7 linked regions of the Kluyveromyces lactis genome follow. The main gene of each other region encodes a partner of the protein of the gene in region 6 in a complex. Links are inferred from orthologs where the notes say so. Each region holds a gene or a part of one and is shown on either strand. Other genes may lie near its edges. The genes, in order: SAP30, ASH1, SDS3, RXT3, RPD3, KLLA0_E19933g and DEP1.

What was found.
Region 1: KLLA0_E19933g (region 6) and SAP30 share a complex: the UniProt entries of both Saccharomyces cerevisiae proteins name them as parts of the RPD3C(L) complex. The link is inferred for Kluyveromyces lactis from reciprocal best matches to the Saccharomyces cerevisiae genes DOT6 and SAP30.
Region 2: KLLA0_E19933g (region 6) and ASH1 share a complex: the UniProt entries of both Saccharomyces cerevisiae proteins name them as parts of the RPD3C(L) complex. The link is inferred for Kluyveromyces lactis from reciprocal best matches to the Saccharomyces cerevisiae genes DOT6 and ASH1.
Region 3: KLLA0_E19933g (region 6) and SDS3 share a complex: the UniProt entries of both Saccharomyces cerevisiae proteins name them as parts of the RPD3C(L) complex. The link is inferred for Kluyveromyces lactis from reciprocal best matches to the Saccharomyces cerevisiae genes DOT6 and SDS3.
Region 4: KLLA0_E19933g (region 6) and RXT3 share a complex: the UniProt entries of both Saccharomyces cerevisiae proteins name them as parts of the RPD3C(L) complex. The link is inferred for Kluyveromyces lactis from reciprocal best matches to the Saccharomyces cerevisiae genes DOT6 and RXT3.
Region 5: KLLA0_E19933g (region 6) and RPD3 share a complex: the UniProt entries of both Saccharomyces cerevisiae proteins name them as parts of the RPD3C(L) complex. The link is inferred for Kluyveromyces lactis from reciprocal best matches to the Saccharomyces cerevisiae genes DOT6 and RPD3.
Region 7: KLLA0_E19933g (region 6) and DEP1 share a complex: the UniProt entries of both Saccharomyces cerevisiae proteins name them as parts of the RPD3C(L) complex. The link is inferred for Kluyveromyces lactis from reciprocal best matches to the Saccharomyces cerevisiae genes DOT6 and DEP1.

Annotation. Positions count from the first base shown.
Region 1 is NC_006041.1:986,060-988,414, forward strand, and holds SAP30 (Sap30p), read right to left. Parts: upstream 1,065-2,355; coding exon 564-1,064; downstream 1-563. Other genes in the region: CUE1 (Cue1p), read right to left, coding at 1-119; KLLA0_E11243g (putative endodeoxyribonuclease), read right to left, coding at 1,292-2,266. UniProt on the Saccharomyces cerevisiae protein: Component of the RPD3C(L) histone deacetylase complex (HDAC) responsible for the deacetylation of lysine residues on the N-terminal part of the core histones (H2A, H2B, H3 and H4).
Region 2 is NC_006038.1:232,043-235,483, reverse strand, and holds ASH1 (DNA-binding transcription repressor ASH1), read right to left. Parts: upstream 1,932-3,441; coding exon 549-1,931; downstream 1-548. Other genes in the region: ornithine decarboxylase SPE1, read right to left, coding at 1-6; MTR2 (Mtr2p), read left to right, coding at 3,074-3,441. UniProt on the Saccharomyces cerevisiae protein: Component of the RPD3C(L) histone deacetylase complex (HDAC). Responsible for the deacetylation of lysine residues on the N-terminal part of the core histones (H2A, H2B, H3 and H4).
Region 3 is NC_006041.1:774,542-777,507, forward strand, and holds SDS3 (Sds3p), read right to left. Parts: upstream 1,504-2,966; coding exon 544-1,503; downstream 1-543. Other genes in the region: KTR5 (putative mannosyltransferase), read right to left, coding at 1-109; DNA-binding transcription factor CRZ1, read left to right, coding at 2,464-2,966. UniProt on the Saccharomyces cerevisiae protein: Component of the RPD3C(L) histone deacetylase complex (HDAC) responsible for the deacetylation of lysine residues on the N-terminal part of the core histones (H2A, H2B, H3 and H4).
Region 4 is NC_006038.1:261,937-264,659, forward strand, and holds RXT3 (Rxt3p), read right to left. Parts: upstream 1,485-2,723; coding exon 519-1,484; downstream 1-518. Other genes in the region: RPL31B (60S ribosomal protein eL31), read left to right, coding at 2,341-2,397. UniProt on the Saccharomyces cerevisiae protein: Component of the RPD3C(L) histone deacetylase complex (HDAC) responsible for the deacetylation of lysine residues on the N-terminal part of the core histones (H2A, H2B, H3 and H4).
Region 5 is NC_006041.1:185,634-188,787, forward strand, and holds RPD3 (histone deacetylase RPD3), read right to left. Parts: upstream 1,843-3,154; coding exon 544-1,842; downstream 1-543. Other genes in the region: lumazine synthase RIB4, read right to left, coding at 1-58; PEX6 (AAA family ATPase peroxin 6), read right to left, coding at 2,181-3,154. UniProt on the Saccharomyces cerevisiae protein: Catalytic component of the RPD3 histone deacetylase (HDAC) complexes RPD3C(L) and RPD3C(S) responsible for the deacetylation of lysine residues on the N-terminal part of the core histones (H2A, H2B, H3 and H4).
Region 6 is NC_006041.1:1,773,972-1,777,591, forward strand, and holds KLLA0_E19933g (SANT/Myb-like DNA-binding domain-containing protein), read right to left. Parts: upstream 2,315-3,620; coding exon 563-2,314; downstream 1-562. Other genes in the region: SAS3 (histone acetyltransferase), read left to right, coding at 1-5; KLLA0_E19955g (3'-5'-exodeoxyribonuclease), read left to right, coding at 3,246-3,620. UniProt on the Saccharomyces cerevisiae protein: Component of the RPD3 histone deacetylase complex RPD3C(L) responsible for the deacetylation of lysine residues on the N-terminal part of the core histones (H2A, H2B, H3 and H4).
Region 7 is NC_006042.1:735,859-739,385, forward strand, and holds DEP1 (Rpd3L histone deacetylase complex subunit DEP1), read left to right. Parts: upstream 1-1,195; coding exon 1,196-3,016; downstream 3,017-3,527. Other genes in the region: rRNA-processing protein NOP12, read right to left, coding at 1-419. UniProt on the Saccharomyces cerevisiae protein: Component of the RPD3C(L) histone deacetylase complex (HDAC) responsible for the deacetylation of lysine residues on the N-terminal part of the core histones (H2A, H2B, H3 and H4).

The sequences.
Region 1 (2,355 bases), about 790 kb from region 6:
GAAGAAAAACCATTGATTTGGATGGATGGATGTTGTTCGTTATTGCTCAAAAACCATTTCACAGCAATATAACCGGCAATAGCCAAAATGATAAATAATGTGAAACTTTGATCCGCCATGATTAAAGTTTTAATTCAGATACTCTATCTAACACAATAATTTCTGTCTGCTCTCAATATATTGCTGTGATATTAATTATTCTGGAGACAGGAAAACACAGTATGCCTGGTTATGGAGCAAATACTTGTCTTGTTACAGTTTTTACTTGTGAATGATAATTAATATCATTCATTTCTTATTAAAGAGAAAAATTGTGTAAACGACCTGTAAAGGAAAAAAATGTTAAAGAGCAGAAGGACGTGTGTACAGCTTGCTGTGCAATCTGTCCTTTTCACTGCAGTGCATATAATCAGCGTATAGAACGCTAGTTCCAAATAGATTTCCGTTGATATCCTTGATTATTACGTTCTATATTATTCATATATGTTACAAATAGATGAAGCCATTAGGCTGATGTCGAATTACATGCCCAAGATGGAAGTGAGCTATGCAACACCACCGCTTCATCCCTTAAACTCCATTCTGAACTTCTTTTTCTGATTTTGTACTTTGTAAATAAACTGAGGAAGGCATTCCGCTTCTCGAACGGTATAGTTATCGAAGTGTTCCCTGACACCTTTCGCAAGCTCCTGCTTCGTAACCCTTGCATCTGGTACATTTTTCTGGTTTCGTTTCGCCGAGTAAGTATGTTTCCCAATCCTTGATCCTAGAAGGTACCCTTGTATTGATAGATTATCTGGAGATTTCAATTGGAACCTATCCTTATACCGCCTTAAAAATTCATCGGAGTATTGTTCGAAATCCATCGGATTTGGGAGCGGCTCATTCTTCGGATGATTGTTATGTATATGTTTCTTGTTCAAGTCCTTCAAGTATTGCTGTTGAGCACTCGAGAGTCTTTGTTTCACACTGGTCCTGGTCGATGCACCTGAAGTTGCATTGTTCGATGATTTGCCCTTAGATTCGGACTCTGAATTTGAGTTATTGTGTCCCCTTGGTGCCATGTCGTGTAAGATCCTTGTGACTGTACAGCACCCACTCTATTTGACACCTGAGATGGTATGGAGCAGTACATGGTAATGCCCTTTACCACCTGGACAAATGTTCAAAAAGATCAAAATTTTGTACTTAAGACACTTTTTTTTCTTAGATAAGTGGGAATAACTTGGAATTAGATATAGAGGATGACTACATTAAACAAAGAACATACATGCAGTCCCTGCGTCTCATCTCATTTACGTAAGAATCTATTGAAGTTTTGTAATACCGTGTCCATCGCCTTAGTCCTGGAAATGCCGTGAGCTCTTGAAATGGCGTCAAGAACGGAATCTAGCATCTGTCGTTGCTCTTGCGACGACACTGAATCCACAGAACAATCTGTCTCTGTCAAAATACACTGCAAGGGCAAACTCTTCAACAGCTCAGCACCAGAATCCCAGTCTTTCAAGTTGATCCAACACGAAACGCTAAAGAAAAGCCGTTCATGTGGGAAATTCGCCAGCCATAGCCGCACCGTATCCAATGTCCCAGTAAACGAGTGCAAACATATGTTCACCTCGCTATCCAATAATATTCTCTTGCAAATATCAAAAGTAGTACCTTGACATTTCACAGAATGGATCGAAACCGGCAACCCCCTTCCCTTTGCAACTTTTAATAACGTTTCAAATACCTGGATCTGATGTGCAAACTCTACCCTTACATTGCTTAAACTACTTCTTTCCAACGATGTCCCATTATTGCTCACGAGAAAGCCATTCTGAGGCAACCGAAAAACCTTGTCCAATCCGATCTCGCCAATACAACCCACACGAGAAACCCGCTCATCTGACAAGTAACTTGACAAATCTACTGGATCCGGCAATTGCTCTACCAATTCCATCAACTGTACCTCGTCTTTACATTTAAGACAATTCCTATAATGCCCTACCTTAGAAAGCGACCTATCTAACTGATATAAATGGCAATACCAGGGATGCACACCAAGACTAACATTGATTCCGGGACCTTCATCATCCAGTTGTTTCATTAGCAGCAGGGGCTCCAGTAATTCCCAGTCGTACACATTCGTGCTCATGACACACCGTTGGACATCACTTGCCGTTCCGGCAAGGGCCAGGTCCAAATTGCTTCTGATCTTATCGCATCCTACAGCATCCACCATAGTAGACACATGGCAATGTGCATCGACAAGACATGGAACCATTCTTGCCCCACAAAACCAAGCCCAATTACCACTCACCTGATAGCAGACTGGAACCCTAATTCCATAGCAATTGCCTTAATTGTCCCAAT
Region 2 (3,441 bases), on a different chromosome or scaffold from region 6:
GTTCATGACTGTCTGTATTGATGAGGTGCTTAGGCTGTACTTTCTCAGATATTAAAGCAAAACGAAAGCAAGTGATGAGATATTGACGGTTCCAGTTATTTATATTTTTGATGAAGTTTTTTTTTTTTTTTTTTTTTTTTTTTTTCATTTTCAGATAGCGAACATACATCGATCTTGACGTAAATGGCATATTAATGAAAAGAAAGAAAAAATCATTCACTTTATGAAGAGGTCTGAAGCAGCTACTAAGTGCCAGTCATCAATATCAACCTATGATATTGATGCTCAAAGATCAGAAGTGTGAAAATATTAATTTACGCTACATTAGATAAATTATAGGAAGAATATATGTTTAGATTATATCATTATATTAATCAAATTAGTTAGAATTGAAGGGAAAGGGAATAGTGGAAATATTATCCGGACAAACAAGGGAAAAGAGAAGTAAGTATTTATAAATGCAATATTAGAAGGTAAAAAGCTCCGTTGAAAGTTGGGATCAGTTAATTATGCAAGGAAGGTTGGTTTTTTTATCAGGCTTTTCTGCCCTATTCGTCAGTAGCAACGGCGTGACCGCAGAACAAACATGCTATTTTGTAATCAGTATTTCCGTCAGCGTCCTCAATCGAAACTGGCTTGTTTGATTTCATAAGTGTCAATTCACCTTTTGAAGGTATTTTACGGCAAGTTTCATTGGTGCATCTTGTATGGGTCTTCTTATAACGGAGCCCACAAGAATTACAAAGCTGATCTTGTTTGCTTTTAGACCAAGAAGGTCTCCAACACGGGGAATCTGTAATGTGACATGAAACGCAAAATCTATGAGAGTTACGCCTTTGTGTTGGAGAGCTTTTGGGAGATGTTTGGACTAGCTCTTGGTCGGTGTCGTCTTCTGAGTTGGAGTTCGCCGAAGTCTTTTCGCCGAAATCCTCCACGCTGTTGATCACAATAGGATGAAATCTCTGTTGGGGAGATTGAAGAGATTTTGGAGTTGTGGATAGTGTAATCTTCTTTTGTGGAGGGGTCTTTGGTGGTGCAGGATTAGCCTTAAATACCGACTTTTGTGATTCGAATTTGTCTTCATATGTAAGCAATATGCGTTGATCCAGCATCTTCTTCAGTTTTCTTGCTTTAAAACTGTTGGTCTTCTTATGTTTTGAGGAACGGTTCTTCTTTACCGCTTTAACTAATGATTCGCTGATCATAGAAGTGAATTGTCTGGGAGGACTACTTGGTGGGGTTACCAGTACTTTGCTGGAGCTTGAAGTGTTTGAAAGTTGATAGAATTCATCTGGTGAAGTATTGATCGATGATATTCTAGCAGCATCGGCTAAAATATTTAATCCATGAGTAAAATTACCAGCTCTTGGATTAGCTTGAGATACCTGATCTGTAATGTTTTGGTACTGAGTGTAATTAGTTTCCTTACACCACTCTGTTAAGTTTTGCCTCCATAGAGGCGTGGAGGCACAAGTGTCTGGATAGAGGTACGAAAACTCTTGTATTTTAGGATGTGCCAATAACTTTAGATGCTTTAATGGTTGTAGTGCTGGTTGCGAGGGTTGCGCAACCTCATTCTGTAGTTGTGAACAGGAAGGCAGTTGAGTTGATTTTCCAATATTGTTACTGCTGTTGCTGCTAATGCTGCTTCCCTCACATACTGTCTGTCTCCATATGGAAGAATTAGATGAAGCGGACACTGGTGATGTAGTAGGCGTGATTTGTACGAATCCAGAAGGTGAGGCTGGCGCCGTTTTAGATTTTTTCCGGGCGTCAAAGAAATATGGCGATTCTTCTAATGTCATTGGGGCGTTCAAACTGGTACTTAAAGATGGCAATAATAGATCATCAAAGGATCTTTTTCTTCTTGCGTAGAACTTTTGCTCGGCGTGAGGATTGGTGAATGGTAAAGGGTTCGAAATAGTGGACATCGTTAGCTTGAATAGTGAAAAGGTCGAAGCGATGGGAAATGAGCTGATTCGATGCTCTATAATGGGGAACAAGTTACGGTGTTAATTGAAGTAAATTATTGATGTGTAACACAGTTGTCAGGACCAGTGTTTGAAGAGTGAAGAAATATATCAGGCCTTATAAGGATTAGCTAGAACTGTCATATATCAACCACGATACCTAATTCAGTAAAAATAAGGGGATTATCTTTCCAATCGATCTGAAAGAATTGTCCCATGGAAACCCAGATTTGGATTCTGGTTTATATACTCTAGGGATACTGAACCAATTTCAATCAGTTCAGTCCCGCAAACTTAGTAGGAATCCATATATCGATGAAACAGAAAAAAGTGTAAACAAAGAATACCTGCGCCAAACCCGCAGAGGGTTTACCGAATTTTTTTCGATTTGGCAAAAGAATTCATACTTGTTCTATGCCTGCAAAACTAAAGGGAAAGACAAAAGATATACTTCTTTTTCTCTTACCGGCTATAAAATTGATCAAAACTAGTCAACCATTGTTTACAAAATCATATATCATGTAATGGAATCGCGCAGCGATGTTCACTTAGCTTTCAGATCTCTGTTTATGTTTATTTTTCCACACCAAGTCTTGGTATCTGTTCGGCTGGTATTATGGATTTACATTTCGATGCTGGGTTTTTCATGTTTACACTTTCTTCACATATGCAAGCAGAAAATAGAATTTAAAAAAAAAAGAATACTAGTGCGCGAGGCAGCTTGACAAAAGTGCTGGCAAAAGAGACATAAGGAAAAGAAAAATCCGACTCTACAATATGTACGCTAGATATTTGCTCGAGTCGATCAGCATTTAGAGTTGTGTTTGCATGTGTTCATTTGAGAGATTTTGAAATCAGGGTCTACCTAAAATCATCAAGGAAATTACAACGCGTACATATATTGTTTGTTACCCGCATTTGATGAAGCTAGTCAATTGAATTTACCCAAGATGAAATTTGGAGAGAAGAAGACTTCTTTCCATAGATTTAATAATAAAATTTTTGATCGATGTTGAAATTAATAGTATTAAGGTAAACGTTATCAAAGCCTTCAATAAAAATCAGCAAATCTCTTTAAAGCATCATCAACTGATATTATCAAAATGAATCGTCAACCTCAAATCGTGGAGACTTTTGTGAAGAAAGTACTGGCTCATCTAGATGAGCCCGATCCAGCAAAGTTGGAACAATTCCTACAGCTATTTAACCCACATCAGTGCAAAATAATATTCAATTCCCAACCGTTTGGACAGGCAGTGCAATTCCTTCAGGCATGGCAAACTGGAGTGGTACTGACGCAGCACGTTATCACCGCGGTTGATTTCCATGTGATACCAGGTACCGGAACCTTACTATGCAATGTGAACTGTAAAGTTAGATTTGACGAAAGTGGGAAGGATAAGAACGGCCAGGATAGCACAGTTCCAGCAAATAGTCAGGATTCACAGTCCCGCCCAGGTCAGGGATCGAT
Region 3 (2,966 bases), about 1.0 Mb from region 6:
CATCTTCCCATATTGCAGCTTCTTCCGTTCGCACAATATGGTGTACACCAACACAAATTAGAAGTGCAATTGTTATCACTATCAGTAGCTTTCTGGTTCTATTCCTCATGAGATAAGATGGAAACTATCAGTAATCATGCAAAAAAAAGTGGAAAAGATGAATGTGTACGTCCCAATAGTTGAAGATGAAAGAATGAGGTTTTATACTAATATTCTTGGTACTTTAATCGACTGTTGAGTTTATGTTTATAAATGGATCGCGTATTGCGCATAAATCATCGTCAATAGATAACTGAAATATCAAAATTCAGATTCTGTTCACTTTTTTGTGCATACATTAAAAAATACGCAGTATTATAAAGTAGTAGTATTACACATGAGATACACTAAAAATACAAGGTATAAGACTGACAATAACGGATAGTATTTGGGACCTAAGCAGTTTGGGAAATATTGGATGACAGAAAAAAAAAACTGGTAACATTTTAGTTTCTTCACTTGTACCCCAGACCAGATTTACAAGATAAATCCAACTATTGATATTCATTTGAATGGGGCTGGTACTTGGCCCGTTAGCTTTCTTATCAAAGATATATCATCAGTAACCTCATCCGGAGTTAAAGATTGAAGAATAGGAGCGCTTTTTGTCGAAAGTCTTTGGTGACCTCGACCCATCTTCTTTTCCTTTTCCTTTTCCTTTCCGAACAATAAAGCCTGTAATTCTGATGAATCGCTCAGATATTGCATCGACTCTGCATCGCTATTAGTATTGCTTGATTTCCCGCTTCCGTTTGCAGGTGTAATGTTTGCAGGAGTTTGAGCTCTATTCTGATTAGTAGCAGCACGCCTACGCAATGACCTCCTATCGGTAGTATTACCAGTCTCATTGCCACTTTCTGTTTGGCTGACATCGTTCGGTGACGAATCCCAAGCCGAAAAATTGGCTGAATTTTGAGTTGAGCTTCTAGTCTGCTTCTGGAATTTCCCTCGAGAATAATCCATCGAATAAGACTGTGTGTTTGCTACATCCAGAAGTAGCCGTTCCTCTTGCAATTTCTTGATAGTTTTCTGTAGGGATTCATACAACATCTCTTTGCACAATTTGATCATCCTTTCATGTTCTTGCTTGGCTTTTTCAATATCTTCTTGGAACTCTACTTTGGACCTGTAAATCCGGTACTCTTCGAAAAGCCTGAGCCTAACTAATTCCAAATCCCTATCTTCTTCAAGATCCCTCAATTTCCTCAGAAATTCAGGGTTATTCCCCTGATGCAGCGTCGTTAAATCTGTCTGTAACAGAGTCAACCTATCCCTATAATGCACATCTTTATCCTTTGCAAACGACGTTCTTATCTTTCCCACTTTCCCTTCAAACTGTAATCGCTTCTTATCCTTCCTACTCAAATCCTGCCCAACACCTGCGGGAATAGCACCCCCATTCTGTTTCGCTCCTTGACCTTTCTTCACACCGCTGCTCATCATAGAATATTGTACTTCATCCATGTTCCTCGGGGGGAGAAGCTGTATTTACTGCAAAAGCTGATATAATTGTTAAAGTGAAACCAGAAAAACTCTCCGGTATCGTTTCTTACCAATTATCCTGTGAAATTACTAACACAGAATAAAAAATTACAATTGAAAACGTTAACACAACGAGTTAATGTGCTGCTCGTTACATGTATCGTGCAACGTATGAGCTGGGTACAAATTATGTACAAATTATGTATAAAGTATGTACAAAGTACAACTGCTTAAGCTGCTCTGATTTAAAAAAAAAAAAAAAAAAATAATAATAATCAAATGAGACAAACAAGAAAATGCCATGCTTCTGCCGTTCGAACCTCAATGCTCCCATAACACTGATTTATTCATTGCAAGTATCACCATTTTCTTTTTTAAATTTTTTATGTTCCGTTTTCCATCTCATTTCCCCGCAGAAAAGTCGCAGCTTCAGATAAGAAAAGCTTAAAGCTGGCCGGTATAAGTGCAGGCTTTAAGTGTGTTGAAAGTTTTTAAAGGCTTTGAACTTTTGGCAATTTTGGTAAAGAAAAGGGAAAATTCCCAAAAAAAAAAAAAGTAAGTTAAGTTATAATATAATGACGATGTGATTTTTTTTTTGTTAGGTGAATAGAAGTGAAATAGTGAGACTAATTCAGAGATAAAACAGTGGTACGCAGCCTGTGATACACATCAGTGTTGTGTGTTATTAGTACAGATAAATCGCTGAATTTTGCGGTGCTTTGAACTACCCCTAATATTCTAATACTTTAAATTTCGACGTTATAAGTGTGTCGATTTTATAAAGCTCTTCTTTTCAGTCTTTCCAGTTCATAGGAAAGAAAGAACAGAGAACAGAGTTTTCGAAAAACATATTGGTTTCCCCTTTGGATATAATATTACCTGACTTTGAGACTTGTATTCCGAGTTGTTTTTGTTGTTTTTTTTTTTGACTGAGAGAACAGTATGGATATTGACGATTATTTGAATGTCGATAGTCCCAGTGACATCGGTGCGAATGTACTGTTAAATCCGGAAGATTCTGACAATTCTCGAGGGTCGAAGGTTGCGCCTGGTTTCAATGCGATGAATAATAGTAGGAAATGTGGTGTCAAGCTGTCTGACTTCGGTGGTGATATACTGTCAGGTTTTAAGGAGTTTGGGTTCAGTGTCGCGAATTCCTTTTCGAAAGAAACTGGTGATAATAACAAAAACGCACCTTCAATCCCTAGTCTTAGTATAAATGGTGTCCTGGCTCACGATATGCTTAATCGCAGTGTGAAAAGTAACGCCCAGCTTCAGCAGCCACCTAGCGTCAACCGTAACAACGGTAGAAATGCTAATAAATATGTGTCACATGAATTGAATATACCAAACACAGATCCATCTTTTTTGTTCCCTGCCTTGTCCACTAATGAGACTGACAATTTGGATACTGTGTCGTCGGCATCTAACTCACCATATATTTA
Region 4 (2,723 bases), on a different chromosome or scaffold from region 6:
GGGTAAAAAGTCACCCAGAAGTTAGAATCAGTGAGACCCTTACTCTAACCTAATCTTTAAGTATACCAAGAAACAAGATTCAGGGTCTTATGGGTCACTTTGTAGCCGTTAACGTCTCGAACACTTCTCTTATGGTCGGTCTTTTCAAATCTTTTTCCCAATTATTAATCTTATTGAATGTCACTAAAAGAATAGAAGGAACCTTCAACCAATTTAAAAGAAGGTTGCAGGGACGTATAAAATAGCATATATATCAGACCTCTATGTTTAGAAGGTTTGCATGGCAGTGGAGATAATGGTAGTTATTATTATGATATTACATTGTTGAGTAATCTATACACAACGCTTTTACATATACAAATGTACATATTCTTTTCGGCACGCATCGATGCAGTACGCACGGCTTGCACATAACCGATTTAAGTCAACTTTCTCGTCACTTGTACGAGACACATGACGAAAGAAAATATATTGGGGGACGGAAGATACCGGCTGCTGGCCTTTTTCTTGATGCAGCGTTACCACTTTAGTGACTTAGTCTTGTCAGATTGTTGTATCTCATTTAATGTGTTGTCCATCACCACAATATCAACATGGAAAATTCCGAACGACAAACCGTCATGGACTTGCCCTGTCCATTCTCTGGATGTGATATTATTTCTCGTGGATGACGCATAACCTTGAAGAGGTGGTAACATTAGGATGTCCACTTTGATCGCAAATGGAATTTCACGTTCTGGGATTGCTCCTGTCACACTATTTTGGTCCGACATATTTGTAGGAGTTCTTCTCAATTTAGTTTTCAAAGAGTGAACATTGGATGGCTTGCCATTGCTGTTTTGATCCAATGGTTCAGAAAATGGCAAAACTCCACAGTGTTGAAGTACTAATATAATATCCGAATCGTCGGTATATATATCTGTGCCCCATATCTCTCGGTTTTGGTACCGTATGTTCTCACTACGGGCCACTTGTTGTAAATATATGGAATCGATCTGTATTGTAAGGATTGAGTTGATATGGTTATGAGACATCCTTGGAATAAAAGGTCTCGGAGATCTGATGGTCTTGAAATTATAAGGGAATGGAAGGGCTTCCAATTTCGGATCCCCAGGAAAAACACCAACTCTCATGGAGTCGTACTCCAAGGTGGCCAAAGGGCGCCGCTGTAGTGCGTAATTCTTCTCTGTATATTCAAGGACAGATTTAGAGTTTACGTCTATTTCGTCTTCGTCATCTTCAGGTTTGCTGTCTGGAGCTGCAGTTTCAAGGGTAGTGTTGTTTTCAGGTTCCCCTGTTTGGGAACTTTCATCTGCAACATTCTGTGTATTAGCCGGTGCAGCAACTGCTTCTTCTGATGATGATGATCCGATTTTACCCGTATCCTGATCTCGGGCCTGTTTGGACTCCCTAGAACTATTCAGCAGTGTCTCTTGCATGCTGTATATCCTGTTTTGGGTTTTTCTGTACAACTCATCACTCATATTCAAACAGTGGCTGAAAGCTGTTGAATAAATCAAAGTTTTACCAGCTATACAATCGGCAACTAATCAATTGAGCCACTGCGAAGTTCTCAGCTTGTAATAATGTATCAATCGACCCTGCTCAGGAGTAAATTTCTCTCGATTTATATTATGAATTCACTGTGTATTCGATGTACAGATGGAGATTCTTTCATTAACAACATTCATCACCAGTTTGACCATAATAGTCTATATACGGGACTGTTATAACATCCGTACATTCGTGAGGCTTCATTTGTTCCACTGTAACATCCGTGCACTCTGATGTAAAATAGTTTTATGTTTTCATTTTCTATAATAGGAAACTTTCATTCCGCATTTCGCACTTCGAATGACACAAACATTTCTAGGACATGTTGTGTGTGGGAAGCAATGATACAGGCCTGAGGAACCTCGCTTGACAACGCCCGGCGGCCTCCGATGACAGGTTTACCCACTCTGCCTAGGATGCCAATTCACCTTTCTAGCTCTACACCCCAGCCGGCAACCATTCCTTGTCCAGAGTGCAGGCATTCCTCCGTCTACTGGAACCAGCCTGGGCAGCCACCCAGCCAGGTTTGGACATACTAGGCGTTTCACCCACCACTGGCTGCCTTGCTCCAGCCTAGTGCCTAGTCTATTCCCTCCAGTACCAGAGAGAAAGTGTTGATTTTCGATGAAATATTATTTGGATACTGAGAAATAAGCTATATTGTAAGTGGTGAAATTAGAGGTTTCTGAATGTTAATAGGCGTTTACGATACTGTTTATTTGATTTGTGTGTTGGTTCTTAATAGAGAAGAACGAAGCAGTACACTGAGGAACTATCGAATACAAAATGGCCGGTTTGAAAGACGTCGTTACTCGTGAATACACCATCAACATGCACAAAAGAGTATGTTAGCTTTTACCAATGATGAAACAAAATTTCGAAGTGAAATTACACAATAGATACCAAAGTGGATAAGAGCAATGAGAAGGGGAGTTTAAAGATCATATACTGTATTTGAATGCAACATTGCATGTAAGTTTGCACACAATGGAGATACTTTGGGAGAATATGTGGATATTAAAGACCGGAGATGAAGTCTATTTAGTTTATTTTGATATCATTAGAATGTGGAGAAAATATACACCATGCTATACGTCCTTGTGAAAACGCTAAGTTTGTTTCTGGAATATAATGTTGAAAAGATGGGTTATTTGTTTATCAATGTGAAA
Region 5 (3,154 bases), about 1.6 Mb from region 6:
TTCTCAAGTTAGAACCATCATAAACTTGATCCAATTGACCCAAACCTTTAACAGCCATTGCAAAATTTACTAACTGTGATTTGAATGTTTAGATACAACGTATCTACTATCAGATAATATATATCTCTATATGAAATAGGATAAGCTTTATTCTTGTGTAATCGACCTATCTGATCTTAACTTTTAAATATCCATTCGCTTCTGGATTTTCATTTTTTGATCTTTTTCATATATAGATTTGTTACTGACAACCGAAGTGCAGATGTAAGTCATATCTGAACTGGAATAGTATTACGTGGAAAATTATGGCAAATACCGATACTGACGGAGGGAAAACACGATAGAAAATTGACCTCATTAGATCAATTCTAACTTGGGCACCAATCTGTATATTCAGCATCATATTAACCGTCGGATGAATGACATATAACAGTGATTAGGTGAGTGACGATAAAACCTGTAGCAAATGCGGAAGAGTACTTCTAAGTGTAAATATATTATAATACAGTAAATAATAAAAGATCATCTGTTTTTGTTTTCTGGCTAAAATTCGGTTGCATTCTCAATGGTTATGTCTCTTGCATACTGAGAACCTCCTCTAGTGTCCTTCGCAGCTGCAGTATCTTCTTCGGCGTCACCTTTGTCCTCCGCATCGCGAGGAACGTGATTGAGTTGAACGCTTGGGGCATATTTAGTATGCTCTAGATTGCTGAAAATATTAAGTAGCACTTTATCCAAATACTCCGGTGTATTGACGTTATACATATTAGATGGTCTGACATCCAATTTGTAATCAGGGCCATAATATTCGTAGTAATCGTTGTAAGGAAGTTCTTCATCCAAAATCACATTATTCAGAATACCCGTTTCGAAAGCCCATGTACGAGCCACGTTTCGCATTGTATAACCACCACCACCAACAATCATGAGAGGAACACCGAACGATTTCATGTAGTTGACACAGTTTGCGTGACCCTTCATTGAAAGGTTGAAACAACCTAAACGATCGCCGGATAAAGAGTCACCACCGCATTGGAGTACCACGGCAGAAGGTTGGTACCATTCCATAATTTTACCTATGACTGGTTCAAATACCGATTTGTAAGTGGCATCGTCAATACCGTCCCTTAATGGGACATTCACAGCATAGTATTTACCTTTCCCGACACCAGTATCTCTCAATTCACCAGTACCTGGGAAGAATTCCCCATATTTATGGAAAGAACATGTCATAACTCGATCCGTAGTATAAAAAGCTTCTTCTACACCATCACCGTGATGCACATCAATATCAATATAAAGAACACGAGGATGGTACCTTAACAACTCGATGATACCTAGCACTATATCGTTCAAGTAACAGAACCCTGAAGCTTCCGATTTTTTGGCATGATGTAAACCACCAGCATAGTTAATGGCAACATCACATTTGCCTCGGTTTAATCTGGCTGCACCCTCCATAGAACCACCTCCAGATATACTACAGTACTCGTACAAACCATCAAACACAGGACAATCGTCTCCAACGTTGAATTTCACACTCTCCTTTTGGAACATATCTAAATTATCTGGAGTGACTCGAGACAAGAAATCAATATATTCATCGGTATGGAACTGACACATCTCCTGTTTCGTTGCAGGTTTAGCCCTGTAAATTTCCATCTTCTTATACAAACCGTAATTCATAATCAACGAATGTGTCATTCTTATTCTATGTGGTTTCATAGGATGTCCTGCACCATAAGCATAGTTTCCCACATCAGCATCATAAAAGTATGCAACTCGCTTCTTCTCGTTAGCCTTCACCGTTATCGGGTCAAAAGGTTTAGCTTCGTATACCATACCGTCCACGCACAATTAATCTTAATAGTTTCGCTAAGTTGGAGAGCCGGTACAAATTTTTCACCTCTTGTTTATATAGCTTTCTTGGTATGTTTTCGACATAAATCAAGGTTTTAATAGAAATCACTACCTTCATTTTTCACCGTCTCCATCAATATAGAATTTCCAAGCAGCTAAAGAAAGAAGAAAAGCCTTAAAGAGATCTGTCATGTTACACGAGTTGAAGAAGATTAAGAAGTAGACCAACTTTTTACTGACCAGATCATCCTGCATGGATGAGTTAATATATTTGTTATATATGATTTATAATAATATTCGATATGATTACTTATTAACGATCATTGAGATTCGAAACTACTCTTTAATCTCAAGTAATGTCTTAATTCATCCTCAGAAACACTTGGTATTAGATTCTGTTGAGCAAGCTCGAAGTCTTGTAATTTTACCACGACCTTCAAGTCATTCTCGTTTGCCACGTTATCAAACCAATACCTCAATGATATATTCTTTTTATTTTCCATGTTATACTTCTCCCACTTTTCATCAACTTCACCAGCAACTCTAGTCATAGCGTTTAAAAGGGCATCAGAACACAATGCGTAGAAATCTGCACCTGTATAGTTGAACGGACATTTTTTGGCAATATCTAGTATATCGATACCAGATTCTAGTGTGAACTTTCTCGTCAAAGCCTTGATGATATTTGCCTGTTTTTTATCGGTATCTGATATCCCCAAATATAACATCTTGTCAAACCTACCGGGACGTAATAATGCTTCATCAAGAAGATCTGGCCTATTCGTAGCTCCAATTACGAACACTCCGTCTCCTCCTGAACTCATTCCGTCTAGTTCTGCCAAAAGTTGAGACACAATACGATCCATAACACCCCCAGAATCTCCCTGATTTCCTCTCTTTGGTGCCACGGAATCAAGTTCATCGAAAAAAATGACACATGGCTTAGCATCTCTTGCTTTCTGGAAGACACGTCTAACATTTGCCTCGGATTCACCAATGTACATGTTAAGAAGTTCAGGCCCTTTAACACTGAAAAAATTTAAAGAGAAGTTAGACGCAATTGCCTTCGCTAACAAGGTTTTACCAGTCCCAGGAGGTCCATAGAAAAGAATACCACTTCTCTTTTTCATACCAGATGAAAATAGTTCAGGGTGCTTGAGTGGCATATCTATGGTATCCATGATTTCTCCTTTGACCACATCCATCCCACCAATATCATCCCAAGTCACGTTAGGAATTTTAGGAGCTCCGATAGAGTCTGAGAATCTATCTCTTGCAATATTTATGACTGCAG
Region 6 (3,620 bases):
TTTGAATATTAATTAAAGGATAACCTAATCATAGTAATGCGTGGCCATGACATGTGTTTATGAGAAGAAAACTGATAATAGTGTAATATCTAATATATGCATGTATATATGTATATGATTGTAAGAATAGCGAAAATTAATGCCATCATTGATATAGCAGTAAAATGTAAATAACAAAACAACGTAATAGTACGCACTTTTCATTTAAGTGTTTATGCAAAAGGAGCAGCCCGTGTCCCTTTGCTATAATAAACTGAATAGGGACATTATTATGACAAAAAATAACCATATGGTACAGTTCAAATGATTTGGCATAAAGATAACACTGTAACAGTATTATTGATGTTCTATTGTAGTTATAGTACTTGTACAATGGGGTCATAATCAGGAAAGTGTGTGCGTTTATGTGATAGTAAATCAACGACAATGATGATTGAAGTAGCAGCGACTGGCGCCACGATACACTTCGGGGTTCATGTTCATACATGTCTGAAAGTGGTTTGTAAAGTAGTTTTTTAAGTTTTTGGTTCTTGATAATGGTATTAATACAGACAGTTTATCATCAAACAATGTGCTTGAATATCGTATTCAAACTAGGCAGTGGCTGAGTTGGCACTTGCGGTAGTCGATGGTTTTGTGGTGGTTGAGGAGATTGCGATGAATTCGGAGTGAACTGGGGCGTTTGTTCATTACTAGCCTGTGTTTGAAGAATTTGCTTCGGTACGCTGGCAGGCATCCTATTGCCATAAAAAGATGAGTTGTTCACATCAGAAATAGTTGGAGAATGGTCTCTCAAGGAATGAGCGTCCGGTGAAAACACTGGCGATCTCTCACGAGCGGAAGAACCAGTCGAAGATGTTTGAGAAAACGTAGGAGATTCATCTCTTAGCTGAGTTGGGGCAATAGAGTCTTCCATGCGGCCAACAATCTCTACATCAACATCAACATCGTCAATGTCGTCATGCTCCTCTACGGCAGTATCTGGTGAGTAAGTAGAGTGGACCTCATCTGAAGAACTCGATTGATTAACATTGGCGGAAGGACTAGCAGTACTAACTGCATCGCTAGGCGTTATATGTAACGAATCCATTCTCCATTGGATCTCTTGTTCTGATCTATGAGGTAACAAGATTGAAAGCTCATCAATGGACAAGTGGTACCTTTGACGTTTTTCTACCAACAACTTATCCTCATCGCCAGACCAAGGTTTTGCAAAGCCATTGAATGATCCAACGGCACATACGGATGAAGGAGGGGGTTGAGAGCTTTGTTTTATGGGCATATCAATGAAACCTGCTTGCATAGACTCACGTCTAAACTGAGAGACAGAGTTCCTTCTAGACATAGATGGATTCGTCGTGAAGCTTTCTCTCCTTGGATTCGCGGAAGATGCGGGCAAAGTTGATGAAGGCATGACAACAACGGAAGATCTTCTAGAAGATCCGTTAGAAGACATTGGGATGAAATGCCTGTCGGATGCTACGTTGAAAGAGGAACGTCTGGAGCGCGAGGAGAAGGAATTTTTCCTTGATTTCGTACTGGCCAGGTTTGGCAAGTTCGATTGTGGAGTGTTATTCACAACGACCGCGGAACCACGTCTACTCTTGATGAAGACTTTTGGAATAAAACCAAAATTTTCCTCTTGATCATTGAAATGGGGCATATTTGGTGGGGCGTCCTGTGAATGAGAGGAAGACCTGGGCTTTATAAATTTCCCATGAGGAGCAGGAGAAGCAGTAGAGAACGGAGACTTGGACAACGATCCGGAATGTGCAAGTCCGTTTACCGATAGGACACTAGATCCAGCTGTAGCAGCAGATGACGAAAAAACACCCATGTTGCTATTGTTATTATTAGTAGCACTCCCACTACCATTCAACCCATGAGGTGACGAAAGAACGGCACTATTGGTAACTTTTGAGGTCGGAATTGGCATGGGCATGGGCATCGGTCCCGTAGAACTAGACTTCTTTGCCGTATTCTTCTTCGCCGTCGAAGAGGACCCAGTGTTTAAAGATTCCGCGCTCAACGTAGGTCCTGCAGAAACAGCCATTGGAGCAAGTACTGGAACAGTCACATTTAACAACTCATCCTCCTCCTCATCCTCCTCCTCTGGCGACTTCACCGTCTTTAAACTGCCAGATTTTAACCTTCTCCACCGAAATTGGCACGCGTTAGGAGTTCTATTCGTAAAATACTGAGCAATATCCTTCCATCCCAGTCTTTTCACCTCTTTCAAGTGTCGCAACAAGACATCGTCCTGAGGTTCCCACGAACTCGGAGTCCTACTGGAAACGTTTTTTGGTGCAGTCATCTACCCTTTCACTTAAAAATATTGTGAGTTATAATTGTAAAGTATCAGCAACCAAAACAAAATCCACTATTTAGAGCAGTAAAACCAAAATTCAGCTCAAAAATTTTCGAAATGTAATCAAAACGACAGTAACAGCTTTCTAATAGCTCTAATTCTCTAGCTCAAAGACCTGTTCTCATTAACACAACGAGAGGGAATAAAAATTTTGAACGGTCCAAAATAAAACCGACAGTAGTTTATGAACGATTTTTCTTTTTAAACAACAAAAAATCGCCTTAAATTCCTTCCAAAATCGGCTAACAATAAACTAACGTATTGACAGTTATGCTCTGAGTCGATATCACTGAGGTCAGACTGAGTACTGAACCAATAAAGACAGGTTTCTGCCTAGGAAACAAAGAGTGTCAAGTTAAATGACAAGACTCGATGAGGTCGAGTTTAGTGGCTTTTTCTTCGTCGCGATGAGTTGGAAAAAAAAAAAATTTCGAATTTTTTCAGTGTGACAGCGATGAGATGAGGTGACAGGTGAGATGAGAAGAGATGAGATGTGATGTGAGTATACTGAGTGAGGGTCCTGTATCTTACCGTTCACGTGTCTTTTTTTGTTTTTTTCGTCTGTGTACTTCTTGCAAATGGGGTTCCCCGGTTGGTTTGGGACTGGTGCGTTAGTCTACGCCTTCGGAAAGCTATTGCAGTAGTGTGTAGAATGTGTCAAAATAAGCTTATGGGAGGTAGGGGGATGCACTCCGGGAGGTGATAAGTGCGTTGGTAGGCCATTGGATAGGCTTCGGAAGATACCCATTACACGATATTTTTGGACATCGTGTGGCATGTACGGTCTGTGAATGTTTCCATGCGGACTTGAGTCACAGAGTGGAGCTTAACCTTACATCCGGGTAACACTCGAAAATTCTGTACAAGCCATCTCACGATGCGCAAGAGGATATGCAACTCATCCCACTTCAGAACGATAAAAGGACTTCCTGTTTGTTTGGCATATTTTCGGTTCATTATGGCCATTGTATATCACTGTGAAACAGCTTCTACACTGTATATGTCCAGAGCACTTCAGAAGATGACAGGTTTGAAACAGATAAGGTACTTTGACATTGGGTTCAATATCTCTGATCACATGTTCAAAGGGAAATACCATGGCAAGAAGCAGCACGAGACGGATTTATCCAATATATTGAACCGTTGTAGATTGACTAATGTGGATAAGCTGCTGATTACCGGATCTTCACTGGAAGAATCGAGACATTCCATTAAGCTTTGTAGTGAATTTGCAACTGAAAATGGACCAAAG
Region 7 (3,527 bases), on a different chromosome or scaffold from region 6:
GAAGACTTATCGACTGCAGTTGCTTCATCTTCATTATCACTATCGGAAGAGTCGTCCTTAGGTTCATCCTTAGGTTCATCTTTAGATTTAGAATCACCTAATACCTTAGAATAATATTGAACTTCCAAATTATCATTCTCTTCATCATTCTTCTTGGTCTTCTTCTTTTTCTTCTTCGGCTGTTCTTCCTGTTCTTCCTGTTCTTTCTCTACTCCTTCGGAGACAGTAGAAGCACTTTCCTGGACATTCTCTTCTTCTTGTTCATCCTTATCCTGTTCAGGCTCAGTTAGCACAGTCCTAGCTTTCGACTTTACTTTACGCTCATCGACATGATTAGGTTTGGAGAATAACGCTGCAATCGATGATGTACCTGCCGCGTCTGATTTGGAATTTCCAAATAAATTGTTCAATGCGGACATCCCGTAATATAATTTTGGTTTGTTATGTTTGAAAGACCCTGGTTCACCAACACAAACGTTATTCCTCTGCACTAAACCTGCTGGTGGCTGTCCAAGTCTCTTCGATGCGATGAGCTTTATCCATTTGTCTGTTGAATTATCGAAAGTGAAAAACCTGCACTTCCTAGAAAAGCCAGCAGAAATCATGAATTTACCACCAAAAAGAAATGCGGAAGAAAAGCGTACGCTCTATGGACAAATCGAATGTATCGTAGTCACGTGATTAACACCGTGGAATGTACTATATGGCCGGGTAACATCATGTTCCTTTTCCTTAAAAAACGTACAAACTGTAAATAGTGCTGAAATGCCGAAATATAAGTTAAGAATAAAAATACAGTCTGATTTTAGCATGAACATATAGTTATGGCCAGTCAGCAATCAATACATAGATCTCATCCAAACGTGATTTAAAATATTGTGTACTACTAAGAATAGAGAGAGATAACTGTTTTGCTAGTAAAAATAAGAATTACGCGAAGTAAGGTATATTTGCAGCCCTTTGTTTTAGTGTGTCAGGTATCAACTTTCAATCTATTCAAGCAGCAATTCTTAACTTATACTGCGCATATTAAACGGTTTGCTGGTTAAATTTTGTGTGTTTCTGCATTGGAGTATAAGCTAAGTGTTTTTTCTTTGCCATCAGCCGATTGGAGTAATACAAAGGTTGTATTGGTTATATGCGTTGGGATTTCTTTCTTTTTGAATTCAAACGGTACTATCTTTGAATCATTCAAATGGAGCCAGAGAGAAACAAAAATAACAGTGTAGAGGCTGCGAGTGAGATTGACGATCATAATACCAGATCTGCCCCCACTACGAAACTTACCAAAGAAGTTTTAGAGAAGATTGCTTCGGATTCTGATTCTGTTAATTTTAACGCAAATAGTTATTCAAGGAAATCGAAATCAGGGAGTCCCTCAAAGGTTGGTACATTAGAATACGACGATAACAGTACCAGTGGATTATCTAAGGTCACTTCTCCAGAACATCCAAACTCAGTCTCTCTATCGGACATATACATCTCATCAGACGCTGAGACCGAAAAGATGGATTTAGAAGAGGACGAATCACGTGTCAAACTATCGGAAATGGCATCCAATTCGATTGAAAGTAACGGTAATGACAAAAGTAAACAAAATGATGATAATCTTTCGAAGACTGTAAAACAAGAGTACATCAATAATGGTGTCGGTAGTTATATTCAAGAATCTGCCCCTAAACTTGCTACTCCTTCAAAAGATGAGGGACCAATCGTTCAGCAAGATAAACCAGCCGAAACAGAACCTGAACCAGTACCGTATGAAGATGACGCTGTTGCTGATACAGATCATACAACAGAGCCAAATAAACTTGCACTAAGCCAAAACCAGGACGAAGTATCTGTACCTGCCGAAGGAGGCAGTCAAGAAGAAACAATTGCAAACGATGAACAAGAACAGCATGCTCCGGTAGTAGAGGAGCAGGCGAATGATAACGAGATCAAATCGCAAGAAGAATCAGAAGTGTCTTTAAAGCATAACCGTGAAGAAGAGCAACAGTCCCTAGAGAACGGCTCGGAGCATGTCAAGTCTGAACAGGTGTTCAAGAAACCGAAATTACCTACTGAGTCAAAATCAGGTCACTATGAAGACGAGCATGAAACGCATGAAAACGGAGATCATGATGTTGATATCGACGCGGATGCAGAAGCTGAGGATGATGGTACTCTAGAAAGTGAGGTTGAGGACAATAATGAGGATGAAGAGGAAGAATTAGAACCCGAAATGGACGCAGTAGAAGAAGATAATGATGAGAAACAACAGACAGATACACCTGGCGTCGATTCTACCGATAATGGACTATCGCCCATGGAGAAGGAAAGGATAAGACAAGACGCTTTGGCAGAACTAACAAATATTGAAGTCGAATTTGCTCAATTGCGACAGAGTCTATATGAAAACAAGCTGAGCAAATTACAGAATGAGCTACAGATGTGTCTAGATGGATCACATCCTCAACTACAGACTTATTATCAGAAGATTGCTTCGATACGGGACTTTAAGCTAAAGAGAATGTACCAAAGGCAAAAGTATGAGCTGGAGTGCATAGATACCGAAACTAGGGCGACAAGAACGTTTATTCATCAAGATTTCTACAGAAAGGTCTCAGATTTGAAACATAAGTTATTAGGAAACACAACCCAGAAGTGGTATGACATCAATAAAGAGAGACGTGAAATGGACGTTGTTGTACCTGAAGTAAATTATCACGTTCCAATAAAAATTTCAAATAAATCTTTGAGTTGTATAACCGGATACGCAGCTCCTGCCAATCTGAGACGTCCAGGCGACTTGTTATCAGAAGATTTATTATGTGAAAATATCAATTTCAGATATCATAACAACCCTGTCGATAAGTTAGAAGTCATTGTAGACAGAATGAGGTTTAATAATGAATTGAGCGACTTAGATGGTATAAGGAAATTCTATGGAGGATTCCCAGGTGCTCCTGAACTTGGTGGTTTAAAAGATTCTGAAATTCATGAGGATCTTGCAGGAATACAGCATCAACAATAGGTCATATAATTTTTCACTAGGTGCTCCAAAAACCAGAAAACACGCTCTTATCAATAGTCAATAAAATGTCATCTTGATGAATCATCATTTAATTATCGTTTTGTTATGATGTGTAATCTTTACAAGTATAATATATGCATGACTGTGTATATGTATAGCACTTTTAACATTTCCACGATATGAAAGTGTATTCGAATTGACATCTGTGAATTCGAGAAACCTTGATATTTTAAAATATACAAAGATGTATGTTATATATGGAATAGAAGATATACTTCCTACTAATTAAACATTTGTTGGACGTTGGTAGAGATAAAAGCGTAAATAATAAAAAGATGAGAAAGAAACCCCAAAAATAGTAGTCCTTGTGAAGTGAGGAAAGGTTGTGATGAATTGGTCAGATTCCAATGTGAAGCGAAATATCTTTATTTTATTAAGACACCAGGATAGAAATAAAACTTATAATAAACCGTATCCAACCCGATGATATTTTTCTATAAGAAACAAAGGG